Caenorhabditis elegans: one gene and its partners. The protein of the gene in region 1 purifies or fractionates together with the protein of each later gene. This does not show direct contact. Each region holds a gene or a part of one and is shown on either strand. Other genes may lie near its edges.

Region 1 (7,263 bases):
TACAATTGATTACAATCTTCGGCTAGATGGTTTAGATGACATATTCTTCCGGTGAGCACATTGTTTAGAATAAGCACAATGAGCACGTGGTCTTCAGATGGCAGACAGAACTTTTGGGTGTGCAACACTTGGGATGATGGCCTGCAAATAAATAAATTACGTTGGATTTTGATCGGAGAGCGATTTTTTCAGAAAACACTGAATTTAGGGAATATTTTTATGCTTGAAACTTAGTGCATTTTCTTTTGAAAGAAAAAAAAACCGTAAACCAATCTGAATGATATTAAAAATTCTATGTAGATTCAAGCAAGTTTCAGTAAAACTACTTACCAAGGAGTATCAATTGGCTCATTTTTCACTTCCACGTCGAACAGATCTGATATCTGACTTGGCTCGATTGGATTTGCAGTTCCTACATGGAAAAATGCTCCGCGAGGTGAATTCCGTTTGATGTAACTCTGAAATAAACACTATTAACTAGTAAAAATATTTGCACATGATTTACCTTTATTACATTCCAGGCATCAACTGGTTCCAATCTTGTTACATTTGTCCAGAATGTTTCAAAGTGAGAGAACTGAGCCACTGAAATATCATTGAGATCCTCTAAGAACATCGACTTTGCATGCTTCCATTGGTCCATAGCAACGAATTGTTCCAACTGTTCTTGGTTGAAATTCGTATTTTTTATTCTGATATGATTCAGATGTTCAAAACTTAGGAGTCCAATGTACTCCAATATTTTCTCTCCGGTCGTGACAAAACTGATATAAAAACTTGATGTTCTGATTTTCCATTTGGGATCAAGAGTCTTAATTTGACTAAACAATGTTTGATTCAAAAGTTGCATTCTTTCAGGATTGATTCCTTCAGCGTATTGCAGAACTAAATTGTCGAGAAAAGAGTTTTCATGGGCAAGGAGTAGAAGAATATCCATAACAACCAGATCCAAATCACCATGCACAATTCTATCTATTTCCTTTTTGACAGGATATTCACCAGCTTTCTCCGTATATTCAGTCCGTAAAATGTTATTCTCTTTTGGGTCAAAATTGAAATATTCAATCTTCATGCGTTCCAATTGCAAAGTGATCGAACGATTATAAACTGACATTGACAGCCATTTGCTTCGAATAGGAACAATGTCTACAAGGTTCTTATCTTTCCGTGAGCATTTCCGTAGTTGACATCTGAAATTTTTTATACATATATTTAGGTCCTTGCGTATTATAACCCCATATTTTCAAGTTTTAGATAAAAACGTCAGGAGTATTTTCAAATTCAGATAGTTAGGCTTAGGAAATATAAATTTTACGTGTGAAAAAAGTTTAATTATTGTAAATAGAAATCAGTTATTATATTTATTTATCTTTTTGATTTATCAACTTTCATTGTAATATTAAATGGCTGACGTTAAACATTTTTATTAAGCTATTAAAAAAACTTAACTCATCAAGAATAAAACATTGATATGCGCAAGGAAATCATTACCTGGTCTTATAATCCAAAATTTCAATAACACCTTTTCTAAATTGCAGGGGAAGATTGTGCCACGCAGAATGTGACGTCATCTGAAAAATTTATTTGAAACTTCAAATTTTCACAAAAAATATAATACAACATCAACAAAGCAAGAAACTAGAAAAATGAAACAATAGACCTTTTGAGAACAAATCGATGCACCTAGTTTAGAATTTACGTTTGAACACATTTTCCATAGAGAATTTGTTTAAATAGGCGTTTCCAATTATGCACAAACATGACGATAAGACTGCAATAAAACGTTGACAAGTTTCAAAATCAAATATCAAAAGTTCAGAAAAATTGAAACTTCAACAAAAACTATTGAATTTGTGAAAAAAAGTGTTATTCTATGTACGTTTAATGGCGAAATGCAACCAGATATTGTTTTTTTTTAAATAAACAATGAATGACCTGCGAATTTTATTGACAAACTCGAGAAATAAAATATTGTTAGAATTTATATAAAAAGAGAGAGACATATCACTATTTATTAAGTGCCGTATAATACGTCAAAGATGCTTTTAGTTTAATCAAAAAGTATACAAATTTTCTTTGAATCTATGTATGTTTCTTTCAATATTCGAAACCTAAATTATTTGTAAAATTCAATAGTTAAGTTTTTATAAGTTTGTTCTTTAGCTACACAATTCCTGAATGTTTTGCTACAATTTTCTTGGCGACTGTTTCTTTATTTTTTCTAAATATTATCTGGAAAAAAGATAGTTCCTTGTTTTTTTAAGCACATTCTATAGATAATCAATAGATTTGGTCAATTAGTCGTGAAATGTGCTGGGATGGACGCAAAAGAGCGTCACTGTGTTTGCACACATCGGGACTAACATGTGTGGATGTTGCAGAGATTTTGCATAATTTAGGCCCATTTTTCCAATTTTTTAAGAAAAGAGGCTCTAAAAACGTTAAGATAACACTAAATATTACTTCACTTGACAATTATTTCCAACTAGATCTAATACAGCAGCAAATATAAAGTCGAAGAATTGGGCTGAAACAGATTGCAGACATTCCTGGCCGGAAAATCGATAAATGACTTGAAACCCGTAAGTTTTTCATTATTGCCGAAACAATTTTCCGTTTTTTGGTTGAATAGCTTTAAGTTTGAATTGACGACATGTATTTTTTTGGAAAAAAAAACCAACTAAATCTTTGCTACCTGTCGCTGTCGCAAAACCTTATCGTTGCTGCAGACTGCATTTCCAGTGCGAACTGAATACATGCTGTGATAAGAATTAAAAAAAAAAAAAATGTATTAGTTGCCTATGTGACACCTGTATCAAAAAAATAGGTCAAAACTTTCAACAAAAAACAATTTAGTGCTCGGCCTCTTCTTCACTCTTGAACTTGTTATATTGCTCCTCAGTTAATAGTTCGTTGAGCTGTTCGTTGCTGGTAATTTCAAGTCTGTAAAGCCAACCCTTCTCCAGTGGGCTTTTGTTGATAATTCCCGGCTCATCTTCAAGTTTCGTATTTTTTTCCAAAATCTTCCCACTCACTGGAGCGTAAATGTCAGAAGCTGCCTGGAAGTAAAGGCTTATGTTAGAGGTAGACATAGTAAGTAATGAAAATAATGAAATATTTTTCTAATTAACAAAAGTACATTCTTACTTCAGCTATATCTAGACTGATGATTATTCATGTCAGATAAACTTCATATATCAAAAAGAAGTTAATGAGTCAACCAAATGACTAGTGGAGATTTCATACGTTAATTAGTCATTTTTGTTTTTCCGAGCTTCGCGAATCATAATTGCATAGTAAGATACCTATTATTGAATGTGTATACGTCAATGATTTCCAATTTTTAAAACCTTGAATTATATAAGGAGCACGCAAAAAATAGGTGGACTTTTCATATTTTTTCATATAATTTTATTTTAGGAGGAAACAATTTTTAAGTCTTACCTTGACACTCTCCACCGCTCCTGTAGAATCTCCCTTCTCAATTTCCACACCAGCCTCCGGGAGCTCAATAAATACCACATCTCCCAGCTGTTCCTGAACAACAGGGCTCTTATTTTTTAACTTTAAAAATTAAGGACAAACCGTAGCAAAATCAGTGATTCCGACGGTTCCAACAGATTGATTTACCACGATCCATTCGTGTTTTTTAGTGTAGAGCCTTCCATTAGATGCAAATCGAATAGCGGTGCGTGCAGTTACTGTTGGGATGAAGCGGCTCAGGAAACTCATTTCTTAAATTGAAAAAAAAAATCAATAAAAACATTTTAAAACTGAAAAGATGCTATCGAAAATTAAGTATTTGTCTAGGTTCAATGACAACGCTGCACTCTGTTGCAGTTGAATAAAATGGCAACGCGAAGACAGTCCTTGCAAAAAGATAATAAAACAAGAGAAGAACTACAAATGAGATAAGATGATTGAGGCGTGATTGTTGTACTTTTTTCGGCGATTAGAAATAAGATGGGGCGACCTGAGTGCAAAAAACCAAAAAGTTTTATAGAATATGTTAACATTTTGTTGTTTTCATGTCTCGACGTTGTAGGGCAATCGCAGTAACAAAAATGGAAAGTTTTCAAAAATTATTGTTTGGTCTAAAATTTTTTAGCGGTTTTTCGACGAATTGCCAATTTGTGCAAAAATTGACTTTTCGAAAATGAGTAATCAGGTAATTTGCCTGTGGTGAAATGTGGAAGAAATGTGAACTCACAAGCAAGTCCACCGCAGGACCATATACATCCCCTATGCTGCCGACGCTACGCGGTACCTCGCGCCACTATAGCTGTGTGCAACAGAGAAGGGCGATGGCGGCGGGAGCGTGAGGCGTGGTGTGAGGCGGACGGGCAAGAGTAGCGCCCCTTGTTATTTTTGTTGTGGCTATCTCATCGAAGGAAGGGCAGGAGCCTTGTCTACAAGGTAGATCAAAAATAAATTATGAGAAAAATTTGCGATCGTATTTTTTTGATAATACGTTGCAGCTGTACCCCAAAATGTTTTCATTCTTCCGAAAAAAAAAACGCGACTTTTTGTTGTATTTCAGTCTTAGGAAAAATAATTTCAAAGTCTAAAAAATAATATAAAAACTTGAATATTTAATTTTTTGGAATCATTAGCGTGATGCTAAACGATTATCCCACTACCAGTTCTGCAACTATGTTCTTTTTCAAAATAATTAATTAAATTTGGCTCCAACCATCTTTGAAAAATTGATTCCCATATCTTAATCCTTTACTCGTTTTTAGAAGCAGAGAACTAAAAGAGCAAGTCAATGTCATGAAATCCAAACGGGATTAGTTCTCACTAATCCGCTCCCAGCTCCCTTTTTCTTCGTCCAAATCTAATCGATAGTCTTCCACCACATTACACATTTCTGCACTATTTCTCTTTGTCAGTCTGCATCTTATCTTCCATCTTTCTTGCATTCTCCCATTGGATTTTTGTTTTTTATACGGTTTTTTCTTGTTTTTATTTTATTTTTTTATTCTTCATCCCTAAAAATTTTATAGAAGAAATTGAAGCTTTTGACTAGGCCAACCAAATTCAATCTTCCCACTCTCATGACGTCCTCGTAGTGCCATGGAAACAATCGCATGCGTTTTCTTCTTTGCTCTGTTTATCTCTCGCCTTTTGTTCTAGAATTATGCTCTGCTTTCTGACATCTATGAGAGCGAGTATTGATTTGAGCTTTTGGAATTATTAAGATTTGAAAATTTGGAAAAAAATGGTTAAAACTTTTAAGCTGCTTTCTCAGAGCTCTTATCAGCTCTGCAATGCTCAACTATTTGCACTTATCGACCAAAATAATTCAAACTAATTGAAAAGAGAATCAATTTTCAATCATCCCTCATTTGGACAATCTGTCTGTCAATATGCCTATCTCTTATCGGTTCTCATTTGACATTCTTCTTACCTCTATTGATTTTTTTCTTTTTGCAAATGTTTCACTATTGTTTGCATTTTGTTCTTTAATCTTGTTTCTCTGATTATCCATAAGAAAACCTTCAACATTTTGATTTGCAGGGCGTCAATTACAGCCATCATGAGCAAGAAGCGAGGACTGGACCAAATGGAGCCGCAAGTAAGTGGTGACGACGAAAGTTTGGAAATGGCGAAAAAAGTGAGTATTTGTTTGAAAAGTTATAGGAAATTTCTTTCGGATGGTATCAGTTTGAATATTAGATATGATGATATGTATAGATATATCAAAAACTGTTTATGAAAATATTTTGCATTTGCAAAACTTGTTGTTTTTGAGAAAAATACACTTAAGGTAAAGGTAAAGGTTGTTCGTTTGTTTCAAAGGTAAGGCAAAATCTCCTACGGAGAAGAGATTTGTTAGGGTTACTGGTAGCGTTTATATCGCTTCTAGTCTAAATTTAAGCCGCACCAGGACAAGCGGTATGGCCGATTTACCTTTCGTGAAACAAATTCACTACCCACTTTCCGAAGCTGGGTGAGCTTTTGGGGTGAGGTGGGATTGAACTTGCGACCTCTTGAGTGACAGTGCTACACCACTACCACTTAGCCACCCGTGCCCCACCAATCTTTCCAATAAAAACAACAACTTTTAGGTGAAACTCGACAGCGCACAAACCAGCAGCTTCAGCTCACAAAGCAAAATGAAGGAGCCAGAAGTACCTGAGCGTGAGCCCAGTACGCCAAATAATTCTCGTTCAAATTGGAGGTCAGACATGGATGAAGAACTAACTGACGATGTAAGAAGTAGCCTGAAAATGATTTTTTTTGTAACTTTGACCATTTCAGGAAGATACTCCTACTCCGGAAGTAATTGATGTGAGCTCTGATGAGTCAATGGCTGATGTGATGGAAGGTGAGCACTTGACAAAAAATTGTTGGAAGGAAACATATTTCTCTAACAATGAAAATTTATTGAAATTTTTGAAATGCCACTTGTGGGGATTTTAATCTAAAATTTTCCTTTTTCCTGATAATGCATAACAAAGAAAAAACAAAAAAAAAATGGTTGAGTTAGAAAAAATGCGAGTATAAAACTCAAAAACTGTGAATTTAATGTGGCTCAATTCGGATTATTTTGAGTTTTTTACATCAGGTTTCCCCGAACTCAACTATTTCCGCGTTTTTAAAATTATTTTACATAGGCCTTCCACGAAGGCGGGGCGTGAATAGTGTACACCACGTCCGCCCGAAACCGCTCTGTGTACTGCGGCCGACGCTGCGCAGGTCCGCGCGTCGCTATAGCTGCGTGACTACGAAAAATGTCAGCGAAGCTATGGTGTGGAGCGTGTGGGGCGTGGTGTGGTGCAGGCGAGAGTACCGCCCTCGTGGAAGACTTATATAGTTGTGCATTTTCTGGGTCATAAAGACGGTCTCTGATTTAGAAAAAACCATAACAAGTCAGAATCAAAAATTAAATATTAAAAGTGTACTGTGATTTGCCAATAAGTTTATCAAAGTTCTTGAAACTATTAAACAATTCTGAAAAAAAAAATGTATTTCATGCTTTTGTTGCAGAAATCAACCAAGAAGTGGAAGAAGAAGAAGAAGGCGAAGCAGAAGAAGGCCAAGAAGAAGTAGTAGAAGAAGTAGAAGAAGATGAGGAAGAAGTTGAAGAAATTAAAGAAAAAGTTGAAGAAGTGAGAGAAGTAACTCCGCCAAAAGACTTGATCAACGGAATGCCAAAGTATATGAAGATTTTTGACAAAGTCAAGCTTACCCCAAAAGACATAGAGCCCCTACGGCTTAGATATTATGGCTGGCTGGAGCTAGCAGACATTCCGTTTG
Region 2 (11,464 bases), on another chromosome or scaffold:
AAGGTATATGCCTGTGAAAAATGAATTGGAAACAAAAACCCCTCTAGCGCGGCCAAAATACAACTTGTAGCTCCAGAAACTTATACATAATCTTTAAAAAAAATCTAGAATCCAAAACTATGAAAATTCTCCCAAAATTTTAAAATTTTTGTGCCACCCTTTTTTCGCAAGTACCTGTTGAAATTGAAATTCGACGGAAAAACCCTTCTAGCGCGGCTGAAACCGAATTTCCAGGTCCAGAAATGAACCCATATTTTTTTTTTGAATTCCTTATCGAATTTCATATCAACTCTAGCAAAATGGCACATTTTTTGTTGTCGGTTTTTTGTACAGTTATAGGTTTCGTAAAAAATAGTCTTCCCGGCAACCAATTCCCAAATATGATATCTCCTTTAAAATCCTTCAATCTCTTCTCTTTTTTGTGTTATTATTATCTATTGGTCTTGACCCTTCTTCTTCTTCTATTCTTCATCTTCCCGTCACAACTTCCAACGTGTCTTCCTCCTCAGCAGCTGTCTCTGCGGTTTCTCAATTCTCTGTACTATTTCTAGAGGGTCTGCTGGCCGTTTCGTCAGGAGGAGGTGGTGGCCTTACTCACTCAATCTGTCCCACTGACCCTTTCTTTTATTCTTCTTTCCCTCCCTACGTTTCTTGCAGTTTTGCAGTTTTTACTGATTGTCAATATTTGGGAGTTTGAATACTTTGTGAGATTTGGGGAAATTTCCAATTTTCAGCGATTTGGTAACTTTGAAATTAGATATAGTTCTGAAATTGCCGTGATTTCTCAATTTTAAAGCGGATTTTTTTTGATTTCTAATAAATATGAATTTAAGTAAATTTTCAGCTTTTTATAGTTTTAGAAAATTCAAAAAAATAGCCAGTTTCAGTTTGGCAACTTCATTTAAAAAGTGTTTGCCATTTTGGTAAATATGCAAGTTTGGCAATTTTTCCTATTTTCTACATTTTTTAAAATTTCATTCCGACAGTTTTGATAGGTGTTTAAATATTTTTGAAATCGCTCAGTTTATTTTTTCAAATTTCAAAAATTTATAATTTCGGTAACTTAGAAATTTTTTCGCCGATTTTTTCAGTTTTATAATTATATAATTTTGGCAACTAGTAAGTTTCGGGGAAAAATGAATTTTGCCAGTTTTTCAGCTATACAGAATTTTGGCAATTTTGAAATTTTTCTGATATTTTCCAATTTTGGCAATTTTTGTGTTTGCCTAGTTTTTCATATTTTAATTACTCACAATTTTGGCAACGACCTTTTTTTTGAAAAATTTGCACTTTAGCGAATTTTTGGCTCTCCTAAGTTTCAGCAAATTTTAAAATTTCCAAATGTATCATATTCGGCAATTTTGACAACAATTTTTGATGATTTGGGCAATTTTACAAATTTCTTTTTTTTTTTTGAGACATTGGCCATATTGGAACGTTGAAAAACTATTAAAAAAACTAGGCACATTTTCGGTTATTCCAAATTTCGAAAAATTAAAAAACTGCTAGCTTTTTCGGCAACCAGAACATTTCCAATTTTCAAAATTCCGGCAATTTGTTACGTTTGGAATGCCGATTTTTTTTGGGATTCCAGCAAATTTATTTAGGTGATCCGATAATTTTTCGTATACTTGGCAACTTCATTTTTTTTCCAAAAAAGGGAAAATGAGAAAATGAAATGTTTTTTTTGAGTCACGCAATTCCGGCTCCACTTGCTATTGTGCTTTTTTCTGTTAAAAACATGCATAACATCCAATTTTTTGGCGCCGGATTTTTTTTTGGAATTCGGAAGTTCACCAACTTGAATATTTTTCCCTATTTTTTTGGCAATTTTTTAAACAAATTCCGGCGATTCTAAAATAGCCCAGTACTTGACATTTCAAATTCAGTTGGAACTACCCAATTATTCCCAACCTGACACCTTTTGTCTTTTTCCTATTCAAACTTTGTGAACCTATATAATTATTTTTTTCCCGCCTGCGTCTCTCTTCCTCTCTGCAAATACTTACGATTCAATAGAATACGTGAATTTCCGAAGACCTTCGCGACGAATCTAGTTCACAGTCGTTTCTTTAGATTTTCCATGGATTTTGATTTATGAAACTTTAGAAGTATTGCAAATTTTTTTTAGGTCGAAAGCTTTTTCTATAAAAACAATATAGCAGCCGACACTTCACTGGGTTAACTTTACAGAAAATACCCGCGAGTTGTCGGCTGCTGTAACTCCCTTTGCAGCAATGATAGCAAGAGATTGGTAAATAGCAAATTGTAGAAAATAAAATTTACAACAATTTGTTAGTTGAAGACATTTTTCTATGTGTAATGCGAAACAAATTATGGCAGCCGACACTTCAATAGGTTTTAGAGCTAGCGAAAACCCCGTGAGACTTCGGCTGCTACAAGTTTTTCAGTTAGACATTCAAAAGTTGTAACTCACAATTTTTTGCGTCTTGCGGGTTTTAACTGAAAAACTGGAAACGGTTCAGAATTCAAAAAAAAAATGTTTTTCGGTTGATGCTTCTAAAACGTTTTTCGTGATAAAAATTGAAAAAAAGCGAATTCAAAAATTAACTTTTAGCAGCCGACATTTTATGGGCTTGAGTTATATTTCTCTAACCCTAAACACCAAAGAACCTATATATCTCACACTTTCACTATCATCAAGTCAACGTCAGTTTTACTCATTTCTGCGTCTCGTTTTCTTATTTCTTTCGCATCTAATTGTTGTAAGTCTACGTGGAGAAACCAGCCTTATATAGCTGAACCAACTTCCTCTTTTGCAATTTTTTCCTTTCTTTGTGTTTTATGCCAGAACTTTGAAATCACAAAAGTTATTGTTAATTTAATATTTAAGCTACCTGAAATTTCCTATATTTGGTCAATTAACAATTTTTTAGCAGCTAGTTCAAGAAGTAAGTTAAAGCAGACGACATCTAGCGGGTCAGAATTTTGGAAGCTGTGAGATGTCGGCCGCTATATGCTTCTTGAGGAAAACTGGTGTGGTAGCCGACACCTTGCGGGATTTGATCCCCGGGGTTTCCGGATCTGTAAGATGTAGGCTGCCACAACTTTTTTAAACTGACAAAGTTAAGAAATCAAAATTTCCTTTTTTCCGGTAAGCACTGTCTTTTGGCTATTTTAGGCAGCCGACATCTTGCGGGTCTTGCTCAGTTTTGATTTTTTTTTTTCGAACCCATGAGATGTCCGCCGCTATAATTTTCTCTGGCGTTTGTGTCAAATCTTTATTGTAAACTTTATCCGCTTCCCGTTTTGCAGGTTTTTAATTCCCTAACTCTCAATTTTTCAGAATGCGCCTGGCACTCCTTGTACTAGCCACAATCGGCTATGCAGTTGCCGATCTGTTCACCTCGATTGCCGACATGCAAAACCTTCTGGAAACTGAAAGAAATATTCCGAAAATCCTTGACAAATACATTCACGACGAGGAAGAGCGACTGGTTCAGCTGAAGAAGCTGTCGGAGGAGTACTCGAAGAAAAATGAGATTTCGATTGAAAATGGGCTCAAGGATATTACGAATCCGATCAATGCGTTTTTATTGATCAAGAGAAAGGTAATTTTGTTTGCAATAGGTTTTAAGTTATTGCAGCCGACATCTCACTGGCCGTTTTTTCAGCCCGTAAGGCGTCGGCTGCTATGACTTGTTTTTAACGCTAGAAAAAAGTAGTCAACTATGATAGCAAAGTATAGGAAATTTCATTTACTTAATTTTGTTAGTTGACGATTTTTCACTCAGTCCCGTAGTTTTACTGTTATTACAGCCGCCATCTTACTGGCTGCACTTTTTAGAAATCCGTGAGATGCCGGCTGCTATAACTTTTTTCCCATACATTTTAGAAAAAAGTTGTCAACTGACAAAATATAGAAAATTTCATTTACTTAAATTTGTTAGTTGACAATTTTTCACTCAGACCCGTAGTTTTCCAGTTATTGCACCCGACATCTCACTGGCCGTTTTTTTTCAGCCCGTAAGGCGTCGGCTGCTATGACTTGTTTTTAACGCTAGAAAAAAGTAGTCAACTATGATAGCAAAGTATAGGAAATTTCATTTACTTAATTTTGTTAGTTGACGATTTTTCACTCAGTCCCGTAGTTTTACTGTTATTACAGCCGCCATCTTACTGGCTGCACTTTTTAGAAATCCGTGAGATGCCGGCTGCTATAACTTTTTTCCCATACATTTTAGAAAAAAGTTGTCAACTGACAAAATATAGAAAATTTCATTTACTTAAATTTGTTAGTTGACAATTTTTCACTCAGACCCGTAGTTTTCCAGTTATTGCACCCGACATCTCACTGGCCGTTTTTTTTCAGCCCGTAAGGCGTCGGCTGCTATGACTTGTTTTTAACGCTAGAAAAAAGTAGTCAACTATGATAGCAAAGTATAGGAAATTTCATTTACTTAATTTTGTTAGTTGACGATTTTTCACTCAGTCCCGTAGTTTTACTGTTATTACAGCCGCCATCTTACTGGCTGCACTTTTTAGAAATCCGTGAGATGCCGGCTGCTATAACTTTTTTCCCATACATTTTAGAAAAAAGTTGTCAACTGACAAAATATAGAAAATTTCATTTACTTAAATTTGTTAGTTGACAATTTTTCACTCAGACCCGTAGTTTTCCAGTTATTGCACCCGACATCTCACTGGCCGTTTTTTTCAGCCCGTAAGGCGTCGGCTGCTATAACTCTTTCAAATGCGTTTTAGAAAAAAGTTGTCAACTGACAAAATGTTGGTAATTGACAACTGTTTTACCAGTTCAAAGTTAAAAAAGTTAGAGCAGCCGACATCTCCCAGGCCACGTTTTTTGAAAACCCGAACATATCGGCTGCCTTAATTTTTCTCTAATTTTTATTAGAGAACGTTGTTGACTAAGTAATAGTAAGTTTAGTTGAAATCTTTTCAAAATTTTGGCTGCTCCCAACTATTGGTAAAGCCTCCAGTTTCTGTGTTATTGCAGCTGACATCTCACTGGCCGCACTTTTTTTGAAAATCCGTGAGATGTCGGATGCTATAACTGTCATAACTTTTTTCTCAAACGCTCCAGTTACAGAAAATTTTCTACAACTTTACAGTTTACAACTTTTGTCTATCTCAATTTCTAAATGGCCTATAACCCCACAAATCTTCAGATCTTTGACTGGAAGGAGATCGAGTCGAAAATGAACGCAAATAAGGCTGGAAACGTGGTCTCTTCAATCACAGATGACAGTTATGGAGTACGGTACCCAACAGCCGATGACTTGAGTGGAGCAGCTATTGGGCTCCTCCGTCTTCAAGACACTTACCGCCTCGACACCAAGGATCTTGCCGATGGAAAGATTTACGCGGATCAGGGAAATTACACATTTTCCGGTAAGCTTAAAGTAATACAAACTTTAAGTTTATCTTTAATTTTAGCAAAGGACTGTTTTGAAATTGCCCGTGCTGCTTACAATGAGCACGACTTCTACCACACTGTGATGTGGATGGAGGAGGCGCAGAGAAGACTCGGCGACGAGGTGGAGCCAACTGTGGAGGTGGAAGATGTGAGTTATCTTGGCTGGAGAGGAAGATAGAAAAATATTTACAACTAGTGAATTGTGCAGAATTAAATTTACATTATTTTTTAGTTTATAACTTTTTTATAGCTTGTTTCTTAGTGGAGTTATAAAGAGTTTTAGCAAAAAAATTTGAATTTTAAAATAAAGCACGCATATCTCTGCAATGAAAGATTTTATCAAAAGGTTGTCAATTGTTAAAATGTGTAAAATAAAATTTTCTACAATTTGTTAATTAACAACTTTTTGCTAAACTTGCGTCGAAGCAAGTTATGGCAGCCGACACCTTGCGGGTCCAGAAGCAATCCAAAACCGGAAGATGTCGGCTGCAACATAACTTTAATCCTAGTTTAGCTGCGGGAGAGATGTTAACTAATAAAGTGTAAAACAACTTTTTTTAATTGCTTTGAAGCAAGTTATGGCAGCCGACGCTTTACGGGGCAATCTGTCGGCTGCTGTAGACTTCGAAGGCGGATAACTCTGCGGGTATTGAATTTATCAAAAAGTTTTCAACTAACAAATTATAAAAAAATTAAGTTTTAGATACTTTAATAGTTGAAATATTTTTGATATCTTTAATAGCGGCGGAGAAACAAGCGTAAATCGCCAAAAAGCTATGAGAAAGTAGCCGAAATTTTAAATGCAACTTTTTTCACCAAAAAATTTAATTTCCAGATTCTCGAATACCTGGCGTTTGCACTGTACAAGCAGAACAACTTGAAGCACGCTCTAAAGCTTACAGAGGAGCTCTACAAAATGAGTAAGTTTTTGAGACCGCGAGATGTCGGCTGCTACTCAGCTATTGTAAAATCTAAATCTTCCAGACCCAACTCACCCACGCGCCAAAGGAAATGTCAAATGGTACGAGGACCTTCTCGAGCAAGAAGGCGTCCGTAGAAGTGACATGCGCAAGAACCTCCCACCAATCCAAAACCGCCGTCCCGACTCTGTCCTAGGAAACACTGAACGAACAATGTACGAGGCTCTGTGCAGAAATGAGGTTCCAGTGTCCCAGAAGGACATCTCCCGTCTCTACTGCTACTACAAGCGGGACCGTCCGTTCCTTGTCTACGCTCCGATTAAGGTGGAAATTAAGAGATTCAACCCACTAGCCGTGCTCTTCAAGGACGTGATCTCCGACGATGAGGTGGCCGCGATTCAGGAGCTCGCGAAGCCAAAACTCGCAAGAGCCACAGTCCACGACTCGGTGACCGGAAAGCTTGTCACAGCGACTTACCGTATCTCTAAAAGCGCGTGGCTTAAGGAGTGGGAGGGTGATGTTGTGGAGACCGTTAACAAGCGAATCGGATATATGACAAATTTGGAGATGGAGACCGCTGAGGAGCTGCAGATTGCGAATTATGGAATCGGAGGACATTATGACCCGCATTTCGATCATGCCAAGAAGGAGGAGTCGAAGAGTTTTGAGAGCTTGGGAACTGGAAATCGTATTGCCACTGTGTTGTTCTATGTGAGTTATATTAAAATGCAAAAACCCGTCAAGTGTCGGCTGCCAGCTAACAGCCCGCAAAGTGTCAGCTGTTGCCTTATAACTCGCAAAACGTCGGCTGCTAATTAGATGCCAGTATTTTGTCGGCTACCATATAGTCCCGGCAAAGTGTCAGCTGCTAGGTAGATCGCTGAACTTGTCCGGCACTAGCGCACGCGACAGCGAGGGATCCATTTTTGCCGGCTGCTAACTAACCCCGCAAAGTGTCAGCTGCTAGCTAACGACCCGCGCAGTGTCGGCATCTAGGAGCCTGTAGCTTGTTGGTTGCCACTCAGAACCCGCGAAGTGTTGACTGCTAGCTAACAACCCGCAAAGTGTCGGCTGTTATCTAAATCCACAAAGTGTCTGATGCTAGCTAACAAGCCGCTTAGTGTTGGCTGCTAGCTAACAAAACGCAAAGTGTCTGCTGCTAGCTAACAACCCGCAAAGTGTCAGCTGCTAGCTAACGACCCGCGCAGTGTCGGCATCTAGGAGCCTGTAGCTTGTTGGTTGCCACTCAGAACCCGCGAAGTGTTGACTGCTAGCTAACAACCCGCAAAGTGTCGGCTGTTATCTAAACCCACAAAGTGTCTGATGCTAGCTAACAAGCCGCTTAGTGTTGGCTGCTAGCTAACAAAACGCAAAGTGTCTGCTGCTAGCTAACAACCCGCAAAGTGTCGGCTGCCGACTCAAAATCAACCTATTATTGTTTCAGATGAGCCAACCATCTCACGGAGGAGGTACCGTCTTCACTGAGGCCAAGTCTACAATTCTGCCCACCAAGAATGATGCTCTCTTCTGGTATAACTTGTACAAACAAGGAGACGGAAACCCAGACACCCGTCACGCCGCCTGTCCCGTTCTTGTCGGAATCAAATGGGTTAGTTTTTTGTTTCTGGTGGGAGCCCGCGAAATGTCGGTCGCTTCTTATATCGGTATTTGCGTACTTTCGCAGCTACAGTAACCCACAAAAACACCTCTAGGACCACAATTTCATGAGGAATTCGAATTTTAACTTGTTTTTCCAGGTATCCAACAAATGGATCCACGAGAAGGGCAACGAGTTCCGTCGTCCATGCGGCTTGAAATCCTCAGACTACGAAAGATTCGTCGGCGACCTCGGATACGGCCCAGAGCCAAGAAATGCTCCAAACGTGTCCCCAAATCTTGCCAAAGACGTCTGGGAGACCCTCTAAGCATTGGTTTTCATTGTTTTCTGTTTTTTTTCTTTGTGCCGCATAATTTATCCCCACACACTACCGGGTGGTTTCTTACATGTTTTCTCTTTTTTCTCTTGTTGCCTTCGATGAAGTTGTCTGCCTTTTTCTTTGCCGTGAATAAATTATTTTTTACTTTTTAATTATGTTATTTGAAAGCAGCCGACAATTCCCTAGTGGATCCTGTGAAGTGATGGCTGCAAGCCTGTAAAGCGTCGTATGCAGAATAGAAACCTGTAAGAGGTCGGCTGCAAACCTATTAAGTGTCGGCTGCTGAGTAAAACCCCGTATAGCGTCGGCTGCAAAATAAAAAACCGTAAGAGGTCGGCTGCCAACCTTTTAAGCGTCGGCTGCTGAGTGAGAGCATGTATCGTATCGGCTACAAAACTGTTTAGTGTCGGCTGCTAGATAGGAATCCGTAACGTGTCGGCTGTCAACCTATTAAGCGTCCGCTGCTGAATAAAAACCCTTGAGATGTCCGCTGCCAACCTGTTAAGTGTCGGCTGCTAGATAGCAACCCGTAAGGTGTCGGCTGCACACACACTGGATATTATTGATTTTCCGAAAACTTCCGAATTTTTCTTCTCCTGCTTACCTTTTTCCGTAGTTTTATCATTTTCTCATCATCACTTTTTCGCATTGACAGACCGCCAAAAACGTTTTATTATGTTTGTTTGCTCTTTTTCTTATCAGTGCTTAAATATTATGAAACATCTTTATATGAAACTCCTTTTTTTGGCATTCTCGTTTTCGAAAAAATTGAATTCCAACTCGTTTTAAGCAAAATTTTGAAATTTTGGCTTAGATTTTTTGGCAGCTTGTATCTTTGCATGAATGCTAGAATAATTTTGTCAACTGATAAATTGTAGAAAATTTCATTTGCTATATTTTGTTAGTTAACAATTTTTTAGTAACTGTTGTGGTTGGCAAGTTGCAACCGTGTAAAGTTGTAGTACATAAGCGTCACTGGTTATTTGCTACAAATGCTTGTATCTTTGTAGGAATGAGAGATATCAAAAAGTTGTCAACTAGGGAAATGTAGATAAGAAATTTTTCTACAAATTGTATGTTGCAATTTTTTTTTCTAGCTTTAAGGATTAGCGAGATATGTGCTTTCAAAAAGTTAAGGTTTAAAAAAATTTTATTTTGAAATTTTGAAATTTTGCAATTCCTATTGCGAAATTTCTGTTGATCGTTTAGTTTTTTTTTAACTTATAGTTAATCTAGTTTTTTACAGTACAGTGAACTATGAGAGAAGTAATCTCAATCCACGTGGGGCAGGCGGGAGTTCAAATCGGAAACGCTTGCTGGGAGCTTTACTGCTTGGAGCACGGAATTCTCCCAGATGGGACATCGATGGAGCCCGACGGGAACTCCGGCTCTCTGGGCACTTTTTTCTCGGACACTGGATACGGTAGACACGTGCCACGCTCGATTTTTGTGGATTTGGAGCCAACTGTTGTCGGTATGCAATTTTTCTTTACCCTTCATTCATGTAACCCCCACTCTTCAAGTATACACTTACTGAGCGCCGGCGGTGATGCACGCGTGGCCGAGTGGCAGTGTGTTTGCCTGCCACTCTGAAGGTCACTGGTTCAAAACCAATGAAGACACAAACCCATGTCCTGAAGATATCCGTGCTAGCATGATTAGTCTTTCCGAGGTTTTTTGTTGAAATTTTCCCCTAATTTTTCAATTTCCAGACGAAATCCGCACGGGAGCCTATAAAAAGTTGTTCCACCCAGAGCAAATGCTCACTGGCAAAGAGGACGCCGCAAATAACTACGCCCGTGGCCACTATACAGTGGGTAAAGAGATCATCGACACTACTCTGGACAGAATCAGAAGACTCGCGAATAACTGCGAAGGATTACAAGGATTCTTTGTGTTCCATTCATTTGGTGGAGGTACTGGCAGTGGATTTACCTCTATGCTTATGGAGAGACTCTCCGCGGAGTACGGCAAAAAGAGCAAGCTCGAATTTTCGATCTACCCGGCTCCACAGGTTAAACTATTTTAATTTAAAAATTGAATATCAATTTAAATTTTTTTTTTTAGATCTCCACCTCTGTCGTAGAGCCCTATAACTCAATTCTGACAACTCACACCACTTTGGAGCACTCAGATTGCTCATTTATGGTTGATAACGAGGCGATTTATGATATCTGCCGGAGGAATTTGCGGGTCTCGCGGCCAACGTACAATAATTTGAATCGAATTATTTCTCAGGTTTGGAGGGGATTCAAATTTTTTTGTTTTAGTTGAAAAAATTTTGCTGAGACGCCTTCGAAAAGTCAGCTTTTTAAAACGTTTGAAAAATACAGTAATCCTACCGTACTCCAACAGTTCTCCTACAGTACCACTACAGTAATCCTAAAGTACCCCTACAGTATCATAACAACAGTCCTACAGTATTCCTACAACACTGATACAGTATTCCGGAAACACTATTACAGTACCACTACAGTGCCCCTAAAGTACTCCTACAGTACTCATACAGTACCACTACCGTAGTCCTACTATATCACTACAATACTTATGCAGTACTACTACAGTACCACTACAGTACTCCTACAGTATCATTGCAGTTCTACTACTACATAACCACTACAGTAATCCTACGATTCCCCTATAGCCTGTCAAATCGCTTGCTCTTTGATTATGATTTCTGATCTTCTATTAGTCATAGGGAAACAATATTCCCTTCGTTCCCATCACATTACCACCTTCGCCCCCAACATTAGCATAATTCGATTTGTACGTATGGTATATAAGACGCTATACTGTGCATATAACATGGTTCAAGCATCAACCGGTTCTAGATGTAGAATCCCCTACCATCCTTTCTGGACCCTCCACCCCTTACTGATCCCTTAATATATACACTATTGTTTCCCCCCTTCTTCTTATTCATAAATAAATATTTGGCCTTATTTCCTTGTCCTCCTACCTCCTAGGACATAGCCACCCTACAGCTCCCCTACATTAATCATACAGTAGCCCTACAGTAACCCTGCAACAATCCTACAGTACCCATACGGAACTCTTGTAGCACCCCTACAGTAATCCTACAGTACTGCTATAGTACCACTATAGTAACCCACAGTACTTTTAACTAAAAAAACGAATTTTTTATGAAAATAATAAAAAAATTTCCAGGTAGTCTCCTCCATCACGGCATCTCTACGCTTTGACGGTGC
Region 3 (11,257 bases), on another chromosome or scaffold:
AGATAGCTCCAGCTTGTTCCATCTGTTTGAAAGCGAAATGACGATCAGTGTGACTGCGGCTGCTGACAGCGTCCACCACGACATGAACGTTCAAGCCACGTTCCAAAAGATCGTATGTAGTTTGAAGAACGCATACGTGTGCTTCGATTCCGACAAGGATCACATTTTGAACTTTCTTCAAAGTGTCTTCAGTTGGAGGAATGCACATGGAAAACTGAAATTTTTGGAATAAGACTGAATTATGAACAAAAATCTGAAAATCTACTTTCGTCTTATCAAAGATCGGAGTATTCTCGGCGAGACCTTCTTTGAGAGTTGGAACTGTGTGTCCGAGACCCTTTGGATATTGTTCAGTAACAATGGTTGGAATACTCAGGATTCTGGCAGCATCGATCAATCTACGCGAAGTTGTAATGATTTCTGGGAAGTATTTGATATTTGACCTGAAAATAATTAAATAAATTATTTTTGCTCATAAACTAGTTTCTTTCAAAACTTACGCGAACTTCTCTTGAAGATCACAGACGAAAAGAGCACTGTTCGTTGGGTTGATACGTGCGATCAGCTTACGCGCAGCCATCACCTGAGGAACAGAAATCAATAAAAAGTTGAGTGATTCGAAATTAAATAAATAAAAAACAAATGCAAACATCCACGTAAAACACAAGGATTTGACAAAAAAAGATAAATAAATGGACGGCTTTTCAATTAAAAAAAAATTTCAGAGAACAAAAATTAGTGTAAATTTACGGTAAACAACGCGCGATTCGTAATCTCGGAGTGTCGTTGCTTGAGTTTGTGGCGGTTTTTCAAATTTCAAATTTTTAAAATGTCTACTTTCCTGTTCAAATACTGATTTTCTACGTATTATTTATAATATATTAATTGTAAAATGTTTAAAGGCTCTCCAGGACAATTATAACATTAACAATTTGTGTTCACACCCTAAAAAACATAAATTCACCTGTTGATTCCGTGAATTTTCCCAAAAGGATGAAACACTGCACTGCATAAAATAGTTATATTTAATAACCTATTGATCAATTGATCACATTGCCCTGTATGGATAATTTAGGCAGTAGAAAGTGTGGACTACAGTCACTAATGCCAGGAGGCAATTCCAGCTCTTATTGATTCACGAACGCGGCTGAAACACTTGACCCGTTGACTAAGACGACCGGCTCATTCATTCGTTTGTTACTTATCTTATAAGACAATCTTTTTATTTTATAATGTCGTGGTTAACTAATATCTTTCAAGACGGGAATATGACACTTTCAATGGATAATTTCCCGATTCTATTCGGGTTACTGTACGCGGTTACTGTAGCTCTGTTAATGTTGCAAATAGTTGAGGAAAAGGCAAAGGTAAATTTTGTTGTTTTTTTTTATATTTTTGAATATTTTATTAGCATTATCAATGAAATTCTCGAGAGTCTGAAAATTTCTCAATTTCAAAAGTAAATTCCAATAATCGTGTTCCCCTCAAGCTATTTATTGGAGCCCCTCATAAAAAATTAAGAGGTGTTTAAAGCTGAGAAGATTTATTAAATTTTAAAATAGACAGTAGAACGGATCGAATTTTTTTTGGGAAAATGTGTTTTTTTTGAAAAAAATGCGAAATATTTTATTGGAAAATGTTTGACTTTAAAAAAAAAAACTTTCGAAAATTTGGTGAAAATTAACTAAATTTTCTTTGGAAATTTTCCCAGTTTTACTTTCTAGAGGTTCACTAAATTCCTGAATGCATGCCAAAATGTATAGAGCTAGGTGGTAGGCAGGCATGTAGGCAGGCATCTTGACATTCTTTTTTATATACAACGTTTGCAGGCTCATTACCAACTAAAATTAATGTGCGAGTCTAGTGAGGAAATGATTAAAGAGCACCAGAAGGAGATGAAAATAGAGAGAAGTAAAATCAGCAATCATTTAATCAAAATTCGAATGCATCAAAGAGATTTTGTGGCAAAAATTGGTGGACTTCAGAGAAAACTGAAAGAGCGAAACGAGGTGATAAAGGAATTGAGCCAAAAACTGGAATCATTGGAATTTGCGGAGGAAGATGCAAATGAGTTGGTTGATGATTTGGTACAAGCCAGAAAGATTATTAAAGAGGTTCGGATTTCTTACATGGAATTAAATTTTAAAACTATAATTTCAGAAAAACGAAATGATTGAACTGCTTAAATTCGAGATCGAGTTCAACAAAACAAATTTCCAGAATGACTTAAAGAGTGCGTTGCAAGGAAGTGAAGAAGAAAATAAGGAAAATAATAAAATTAAAAGTCTTTTTAAAGTTAATAATATTTAATTTGTCCATATAATTTTGAAATAATTTTTGATTAACTTAATAAAGTATGGCAAGGAAAAACTGTATGTATCAGGTACAATTACATGTTTGTTAGAGTTGTTGGCAGGCAGGCACGTAGGGAGATATTTATGCTGATTTGAATCGAATCATTTTTAATCCAAGCCACAACCGTGATTTTTTCACAGGATTTTTAAATGTTGGACTATATTTTGAATAGGTAGGAACATAGATAGGCAAGATTATAGTCATGAAGTAGACATGACTATAATCTTGGTTTGATGTAGGTTTGATGTAGGCAGGCATGAAGCAGGCATAAACAGCTTTGAATTTAGATTTCAGAATATCAAAAACTCATTCTTTAAAACCAGAACACTTTCATTTTTTGGCGATCAAATAAAATATTGGAACCGTGAAACACCAGTAAGCAACAATGAAATTAAAAAAAAAAACAAAAAAGAGAGTAAAAAATCAAATCTATGGATCATTGGCATATGGGGACAAATCTCCAATAAAGTTCTCCTGAACTTCCTCCTCCAATCCACATGGTCTTGTGAATTCTTGTCCTTTCTCGTGAATCCATTTATTTGAGACCCATTTAACTCCTAGAAGAACTGGACAAGCAGCATGACGGGTACGAAGATCTCCTTCTCCATCTCTCTGAAATATTTCCAAATTGCGAGGAAAAATAGAAATGAACACTTACTCTAAGATTATACCAGAAGAGAGCATCATTTTTCGATGGGAATACAGCAGTTCCAAGATGATTGAAGACGGTTGCTCCTCCGCGTTCTGGTTGACTCATCTGAAAAAAATTGTTTGGTTCAAGGAGAAACAGAGGGTTCGTTCTAGTTATCTGACAATGTGTTTGATCTACAGTAACTGTCGGGTTTTCGCGTCTGTAAAATGTGACGTCACACACACTTTTCTCGTAATTTAGGTCAGTACCAAAAGGATATAAACATCAGTTTGTAAACTTTTCAAATATTACTATTTTTTCATCTATTTATTTGTAAAAATTATGAACCCAATAAGTTTGAAAATTTCAAAAAAATCAAAATCTTGAGAGTGAATGTTTGACTATATTTTGAACGATTTTTGCTCTTTGAGTTTAAAGTAAATTTTGATATTGTTATTTTCAGTTTCGAATTTATCGAATTTCCAGAAGTAGGCATTAGAAAATACATCAGTTTCAGCTAAACAATCATAAAAAGAAGATAATTATTAGATTAAATAATAAAAATTGTTCGATAGAGCCAAAAAACTATAAAACCTCATTTTTAAATATCAACAGTAAAATTTTAAGACCCCTTAAAAATTTTCCGTTTTCTCACAGCTCCCACGCGCTAAAATCACAAATTTAAAAGTTCAAACGTTAAGATTCCATCACATACTTTTGGATTAGCACACCTCATGCAATAACAGCTAAAGAATTTTCATGCAAATAAAAAGTTCGTGATGGAATCTTATTAACCATTAATTATAAATGAAACATGTCTCACATAGAATAAAACAGTCGCAATTCGGTTTCCAGTATTGAGCGTCTTGAATGCATTCTTCTCTTCTTTCTATAAAATACGGAAAATTAAAATTGAATCGAAAACTCACATAGAATAACACAGTGGCAATACGATTACCATTTCCACCGTACGATTCGGCAGTTTTTCTCTGAAAATTAGCAGCAAGACAAGTCAGCAGGAAGGCAGTAAACCAACCAGTGACATGTCGTAATGTGGTTCATAGTGACCACCGAGACCGTAATTTGCAATCTGAAATTATAAAAAAGAATTGAAAATTGTTATTACCCGGGCAAAGTCGAAATGTGGGTCGTAGTGACCTCCAAGACCGTAGTTAGCTACCTGAAACAGCAACAATTTTGTTGAAAATATTATAAACTTTAATTAATATTTTTAGTAAAACTTGGGGAATCCTCTAATGCCTATATTCTAGGCTGTAGGCATTGAAGGCATTTTAGACCTTTTTGCTGATGTGACTAGCCTAGAAAACTCAAAAATGGACACAAGGAATTTTCAATTTTTTGTAAAAAAACGAAAATATCTAAAAATGGAAATTTTAAACGATTTTTCGATTTTTAGAATTTCAAGAATTCTTCGAGTTTTGTCTTTGAAAATTAAAAGTTTATCAAGAAAGTCTATGAAATAATTTAATCCCCATTTTACATTTTCTCAAAATTACGAGAAACTGGCAACTTTCGAAAAAATAATGTAAATTCATTGCCCGAGAGGATTTCACAAGGAAAATATATAACTATAGTGCGCATTTCCGTTTCAACACAAAGTCGGCAAGCACGTACCTGCCTGCCTGCCTATCTAACGCCTATCATAAAGGCATGAGGCAGGTACGCAGGCATTTATGTGCCTTCTTAAAGGCCTTAGCCATGTTGCAGGGCTCTTGCTTACCTGAAGCTCCTCTGAAGTAGCCTGGTTCAAATTGGTGAAATCTTCAATTCTTCTGTTGACTCTATCAATAACTGGATCCAAATCTCCCTTCAACCAAGCACTGAAACATTTTTGATTCAAGAAATTTGATAATCAACTTGATTTAGTTAATCTTTCAACTCAAAATAAATCAAACAAAACCGTTCCAAAAAACTTAAGCACAAACCTTTTTGAGATACGGTACGTGGCATGTTCCAGCTCGCCAGTTTTCGAATTTTGGACAGTTGCTCGCTTCAGCTAAAAAATAACACACTTCAGGCAACAAAGGAGAAAGAATAGAAGTTGAAAAAGAAATCAGTAAGTCAAATATCTAATTTTCTAAGTTCACAGCATGTTACTGTACAGTTAAACGTTTAATACCTTTCACCTCTTGGCAATTCGATAGTCTACAGTAACCAGGCTACCATCAGAATCCTTTACTGTAGCACGTTCTAGCTTAAAATTATACAATTTCTAGTTTCAGTATTGTACTGAAAGGTATAGTTGCGTGAGTGGGAAGATTGTACTAAAATACCCAAAATAGTCAGAATTTCAGAAATACCACACAAAAATCGATATTTGAACAACATTATTTTTCAAGGGGGTTCTCATTTTGGATGATGTTTGGAATTCGAATGAAAATATTAGTCACATTTGAAATCTAGCAATTTCTCGATTTTTGCCATATTTTGGTGGTATTTTGGAATTTCAGTTTCTTTTTGTATTTTAAAACAAAATCCCCATTCACCGTACTTTATTTCTAACTTAACTATCGAATAATCTAATTTTCGCACCTTTGGAGAAGCCAACTCCTTGATAACCTCGATTTCAGAATCATGAATGACATTCTTGAAAAGAACAGCCAATGGATCGAATCTAAGAATCTCGACCTTGATTGGAGCAAGCTTCAGGAATGGCTTGTCTCTCTTCAGATAACATCTCAGCTTGTTCTTCCATTTTGGCTCAACTGGTGGAATCTCTCCCCGACACAAAGCTTCATATGCATCTCTCTCAACAATTCCATCGTACTCAACTCTCTGCAAACAAAAATTTAAATTATAAAATACTAAGCAAAAAACCTTGTTAACAATTGGTGGCAAATCTCCAACCATATCCTTTCCTTGAAGCATGTCCTCATACCATTTCACATTTCCTTTGGCTCTCGGGTGATTTGGAGCAATTTTTGCGAGTCGTTTGGTGAGAGAAAGTGCACGACGAACATTTCCTTGTTGGTAAAGAGAATATGCAAGATACTCGAGAATTTCCCATTCCTCAATTGTTGGTGGGTTCTCGTTTTCGATCTGGAAAATGTTTGATTAGGATTTGTTGTTGGAATTTTGCTATGGAAAAAGTCCAGCTTAAGGTACGATAGATCATCAATCAAAAAATTGAGTAAGTACAAAGAAACCACCGTTAATATGATAGTTCTCGTAGTGGTGCATAATTACAAATCTCAAGCAGCAAAAAACTTACTTTTTATACGAATAAATGGAGTTGAAAATGCTTTTCGCTTCCTGCGTGCCTGCCTACGCGTTTAAGTGCTCATATTTTTTGGTTTTAGGTTCGGCTTGAAAGCCGTATTTTCTAAACCAGGCTTACCTTAACCAACGCAACCTGCATCCACATCAAGCAATGATAATAATCCTTCTGGTTATATGCAGATCTTCCAACTTCAAAAGTATCATGTCCAGAAAGCTTATTAGAAACCTTTTCTCCTCCAATAATACCATTTGACAAATCAAGAGTATCAAGACTGTAAGTATCCTGGAGTCTCAGAAGAGCAGTTGCTGCTCCACTCAAATCCTCTTCTCCTGGGAATTTGACCTCACTACGAACTCGGTTATCAGTGATGTTCTTGAGGAAAGTTGAAGCTTTGTTATTCAACATTATATTTTCGACTTTCTTCCATTCGGTTGTTAATCTTTTGATGAGAAGATAAGCATTGATTGGGTTCGTCACAAATTCTGGACCAACTGATTCGGCGTGAGCGTTTCGGTGCACGTATTCGTGAGCGTATCTGTAAAATGATTTGTTTATTTGAGTCACCTTGATGTCCGAAAATGTTTAGTTTTTGTTAAAGTGAGACTTTCATGATATCACGTATTTCTTGGTATTGGCGAACATTTTTATTCTTGGTGTGTGTACAATTTAGAAATTTAAGAATTTTTTGTGGCGTTTTGGTGGCCCTTGCGGACTGTCTAATCAAAAATAACTTGTTAAAAGTTCAATAGATTTTGTGTACTTTGTCAATCGGTAATCGTGTAGGCAATAGACAGGCGTAAGATGTGCCCACGTGGAAGACTTTTTATCAAAAATTTAAAAAAAAACCTATATTTCGAACCTACCAGAGGGGACATTTGATAAATATGGAGTTCAATCAATTTTGAATCAAAAACTCAACAATCAGCAAAAAACTAATTTTTACTGTAGCAAATGTTTTCATCTGTTGAAGAAACATAACTTTATTTTCTCCCAACACATGAAAATCAGAAAATTTTAATTCTAGATTCTGAGAATTGGAAATTTTGTTATAATCTACAATTCGGTTACTAAACGGCATTCTATCCCTGGAACCTACTCAATTTTGCAGTTCTACAGTACTCACCTCCTCAAGTCATCCAGCCTGGCTCTCTCTGCTTCGATATATTGGTCGATGATTGTTGTTACATCCTTCTCTGCTCCCAGCATATGCTGAAATCTCTAACTTAATTACATAATCATAGATTAACTACTCACCTGCAAATCAGCAATTGCAGTGAACAAATCTGCATGAGCAAGTCCTGCCAAAAGGCAGACTAGCAAAACTGCTCTCATTCTGAAAGACAAATCGATTTGTTTCCGAAATTTGAAAAGCTGTAGAACGTGAGAAATAGGGGGTCAAAATCAGTGCACAACTGACATGTTCGAGGTCAAAATCGGTGGCGAGAGAGTGAGAGACTACGAGAAAAAGATGAACACAGCAGATGAGAAGTGTAGAGAGCAGCCGTCTGCACCAGCACTTTTTGTATATTTTTACAATTTGAGGGGGGATGATGATGAAGAGGGAGGTGTACGTGGAACGGATGTTGAAGTTTATAAACAAAAGTTGCATTGTGTGACACATTTATATGAATATATTTATGAAAAAGAAGAATAGACAAAGAATAATAGAGTTTAGCATTCACCTGTCAACCTTGTCTGGAGGCAGGATAGAGTTAGGCCAGACACCGCCTGTCTATATGGGAAAAGTTCATTCCCATTTTGCCAGTAGGCACGTCCGTCGCCTTGTAGGCAGGTAGACAAGTATGTACCTACATAAAGGCCTACGTGATTTATTGTGTGATCCTTTTTTCCTTATCTCTGGAGCTTCAAAAAATGGTTTTTTTTTTCAGAATAATTTAATTCCAAGAGTTCTAAAATATGAAGGAATAAATCTAGATGAAACCGCAAAAAACTATCTCTTCCAGTTTTGATTAGTGCCTCAAAGACCAAATAAATATAAAAGGATATCTGAGGTCACCTTAGATCTCAATCTTTTATAGATTACCACTACAGAGATATAGATGAACTCAGTATTTTTTTGTGGAAAATGTATGTGTTCAAAATGCGTTTCAAGCTTTTTATACAAAACTTTAAAAAAATTATTCAATTTTTAGGTTCATAGTGTTCCAAAACTGTATGGTCATCTGATTTTTGGAAACATTTCACTTGGTTATGCCTTATTAAAATTCTGTAAATATGGTTAATAGAGAATAGAAAATGGTAAAAATATACTAGATAAAATGCGAATAAATAATATTATTTTCAACAGCAAGACAGATTGATAACCCTTGTTTACAGCATGATGATTTCAGATAAAATGAGGTTTCTTAGAATTTTTAGAACTATAAATTTCAAAACCTGGACTAAAAAAGTTAAATGATACACTGACATTCGATTTTTAATTTTTACATTTTCAAGTTTGATTTTAACTAAAAATACAGAATGTACACATTCCTAAAGAATATAAAACCTTCAAACTTTGGAATATATGTCAAGATTAATAGCGGATTCGCTAAAAAAAACAGAGAAAAGCAATCAGACCGTCTAAGGTGATGTGGAAGTCTTTTCGCCGCGTCGCGCGATTCTCGAAGAAGAAGAAACTTCCTGATTGCCTGCGTTTCCGATCTCTCAATTAGATTTTGCACGTAGGAACGGACGGTGTCTTCTCGATCCAGTGGATGATTGACCTCCATTAACAATACCAATAACTAGGTTGAATCGCGCAAGATTTATGGATGACGTGGAAATGAAAAGAATGAAAATGGGAAGGTGAGGATAATTGGAGATTGATGAGGAAATTGGGTATTAATTAGTTTTCAATTTAATTAAATTAATTAGGGGGAATTCAAAGTTTTGAGTTTTCTTAACCAATACATGTATTGCAAAGTCAGATAAAAAGCTAAAAGTAGAAAAATTATGATGAAATTCTTTAATAATCATAGAATTTGAAAAAAAAAAGAATCAGATAAAACTTGATTTTCAGCGTTTTCAGCTATAGACTATAGTCTAAAGCTTTGATATATTTTCATAGATCTTTGCTATTTATTAAATTTATTAAATTGATTAAAACAAAAGTTAATCTTGATTTAGACGGAGTTTGTTGCTCCACTTCCAAAACGATAATTCAGGTCTTGAAAAAATTAAATAAATGTTAAATGAATTTCGGTAAATTTCCTGACAATTTCAGTGTGCTAGCAAAAGCATAAATTTACTTGTAATGGTCCAACATCACCGAAAATCACAATAAAACAATTAAAAACTTTTCTGAATCACCTCTACGATTTTTGAAAGGTTTCAGTCAAAGTTTTGGTTTGGTACACTTCCTAACCTAATATTAAATGAGTCAATTGAAAACTTCCAAATTTCTAAAATAAAAATTTCGACACATTTGGAAATATTGAAGAAATGTTGCATTTTCAAATCACTGTGACATTTGAATGCAATAAAAGCTGTGTAAGAATAGTTAGAAATTTGTTGAATAAACATTTTTGGATATCTTCTGAAAATATATATAGGAATAACTGGCGATTTGCCACTTTTTGACTTAAAAAAAGGCAACTTTTCGGACTGAAAAACCAAAAACGGAAGCTGAAAAGGCGCGAAGCCGCTGAAGTGTGTAGATCTTTATATAAGATGGGGGCGCAGACGTGAGAAGAAGCCGAGACGGTTTACACCCTGTCGCACAGTCTCTCTCTTCCTCCTTTATTTCCAACTTCTACGTGTCAGATGCGCAGTCGACGTGCATATTCCGATGCCTACGTGACTGTGATGCTGCAGTTTGGTAGTAATGTTTGTGAATAAGAAAGAGGATGAGGAGACGCCACCACTCGATCAGCGGGTGCCAGATGGTGAAAGAGAAAGACCAGAAGCACTAGGCAACTGGGAGGAGGAGAAGCGGATTGAAAAACTTTCTGAGGATGTGATGGATGAAAGGATATTTGGAAAAGGAGACAGAGACCGGTATTACCGGAAGAAAACTATTAATTGTTTTACAACTGATACGGTTTCTGAAATTAAAAATATTGGAAATTCATTTTTCCATCGTTGAAAACAGGGCGAACAAAATAAATAGGAAGAAGTCTAACATTTAATAGTCTTCAAAATGATTTAGATCTAGACTTAGGCAAACCTACGTAGTTGGTACTGCCTGCCAATGAGGCAGCCTATACCTACGCGCCTAGCCCAATCTTAACCTTTCAGGTAGGCAGCTAAAGTACCAACCATTTTCCAAAACAGGAGAGATTTGAATTACTTTTTCAATTTCCTTCATCAGCATATTGATATGATAGAATTGGCAAAAGAAATCTAAAAAAAACGGAACTGGTCAGCTAAACAGGTTTTCTTTCTCGCTTGATGGGCAGAAAGGCATCCAAATCTAATGAATTTTGTTTCGTTGTGAAACATGAGAAATTGAGGAGAGGACAGAAAAAGGGAAGTGCCAAGAGGAAGTAGATGTAGGTAAAATAAAGATGAAAACTATAGACAGAAAGTAATAAAAAAGGAAGGCAGCACAACCGAATAAGTGTGAAGTTTTCAGGTACATCGTAACGCCTTTGTGCTTGCCAGAAGATTTAGGCAAGCTTGTAGGCGCGAGGCAGGCAAAGGTCTTGAGAAAAACTAATATTTTTGTGCCTTCCTCTGATTGTGAGCAAAAATTAAATGATTTCACAGTCCCGAAAATAAGTGCTGTCGAAAAATTATTTATTTATTTTGAAAACTTTTATTCGCAACTTAAAAAAATAAAGACTCGAACTCAATAAGAAATTTGAAAATGAGATAGTTTTCAACTCACTTAATTTTAAAGCCTAGAATTAAAAATTAACAAAACAAAAATCCACGTAGTACCTTCCCTAGTGTGTCAAATTGAGATTACATCTCCTTCTTACCTGCTTTTGTTTCTTTTCTCCCCAAATGTTCTCACTCATCCCGAAATTCATTCAATTTTCCTGATTTTTCTCATCCTGGTTTCCCTTTTTCCACTACTCCAAACA

What was found.
Region 2: the proteins of gcsh-1 (region 1) and dpy-18 fractionate together in Caenorhabditis elegans (co-fractionation; one large-scale study listed by BioGRID). This does not show direct contact.
Region 3: the proteins of gcsh-1 (region 1) and phy-2 fractionate together in Caenorhabditis elegans (co-fractionation; one large-scale study listed by BioGRID). This does not show direct contact.

Annotation. Positions count from the first base shown.
Region 1 is NC_003284.9:14,511,340-14,518,602, forward strand, and holds gcsh-1 (Glycine cleavage system H protein), read right to left. Parts: upstream 3,735-7,263; 5' UTR 3,733-3,734; coding exon 3,586-3,732; intron 3,538-3,585; coding exon 3,445-3,537; intron 3,060-3,444; coding exon 2,853-3,059; 3' UTR 2,791-2,852; downstream 1-2,790. Other genes in the region: fbxa-141 (DUF38 domain-containing protein), read right to left, coding at 1-141, 331-458, 506-1,190, 1,492-1,571; D1025.10 (SCD domain-containing protein), read left to right, coding at 5,540-5,617, 6,072-6,215, 6,265-6,331, 6,994-7,263.
Region 2 is NC_003281.10:11,369,824-11,381,287, reverse strand, and holds dpy-18 (Prolyl 4-hydroxylase subunit alpha-1), read left to right. Parts: upstream 1-3,307; 5' UTR 3,308-3,308; coding exon 3,309-3,572; intron 3,573-5,150; coding exon 5,151-5,373; intron 5,374-5,418; coding exon 5,419-5,546; intron 5,547-6,233; coding exon 6,234-6,318; intron 6,319-6,382; coding exon 6,383-7,029; intron 7,030-7,762; coding exon 7,763-7,927; intron 7,928-8,075; coding exon 8,076-8,243; 3' UTR 8,244-8,402; downstream 8,403-11,464. Other genes in the region: tba-7 (Tubulin alpha chain), read left to right, coding at 9,513-9,729, 9,968-10,269, 10,323-10,493, 11,424-11,464. UniProt on the Caenorhabditis elegans protein: Catalyzes the post-translational formation of 4-hydroxyproline in -Xaa-Pro-Gly- sequences in collagens and other proteins.
Region 3 is NC_003282.8:12,208,428-12,219,684, forward strand, and holds phy-2 (Prolyl 4-hydroxylase subunit alpha-2), read right to left. Parts: upstream 7,561-11,257; 5' UTR 7,560-7,560; coding exon 7,482-7,559; intron 7,437-7,481; coding exon 7,351-7,436; intron 6,763-7,350; coding exon 6,345-6,762; intron 6,047-6,344; coding exon 5,825-6,046; intron 5,783-5,824; coding exon 5,540-5,782; intron 5,254-5,539; exon of another isoform or gene 5,233-5,253; intron 5,004-5,232; coding exon 4,933-5,003; intron 4,828-4,932; coding exon 4,728-4,827; intron 4,167-4,727; coding exon 4,113-4,166; intron 3,876-4,112; coding exon 3,810-3,875; intron 3,113-3,809; coding exon 3,014-3,112; intron 2,968-3,013; coding exon 2,785-2,967; 3' UTR 2,670-2,784; downstream 1-2,669. Other genes in the region: marb-1 (Isochorismatase domain-containing protein 1), read right to left, coding at 1-214, 266-443, 501-580; F35G2.3 (uncharacterized protein), read left to right, coding at 1,281-1,367, 1,830-2,114, 2,161-2,310; F35G2.5 (Conjugative transposon protein TraM), read left to right, coding at 11,257-11,257. UniProt on the Caenorhabditis elegans protein: Catalyzes the post-translational formation of 4-hydroxyproline in -Xaa-Pro-Gly- sequences in collagens and other proteins.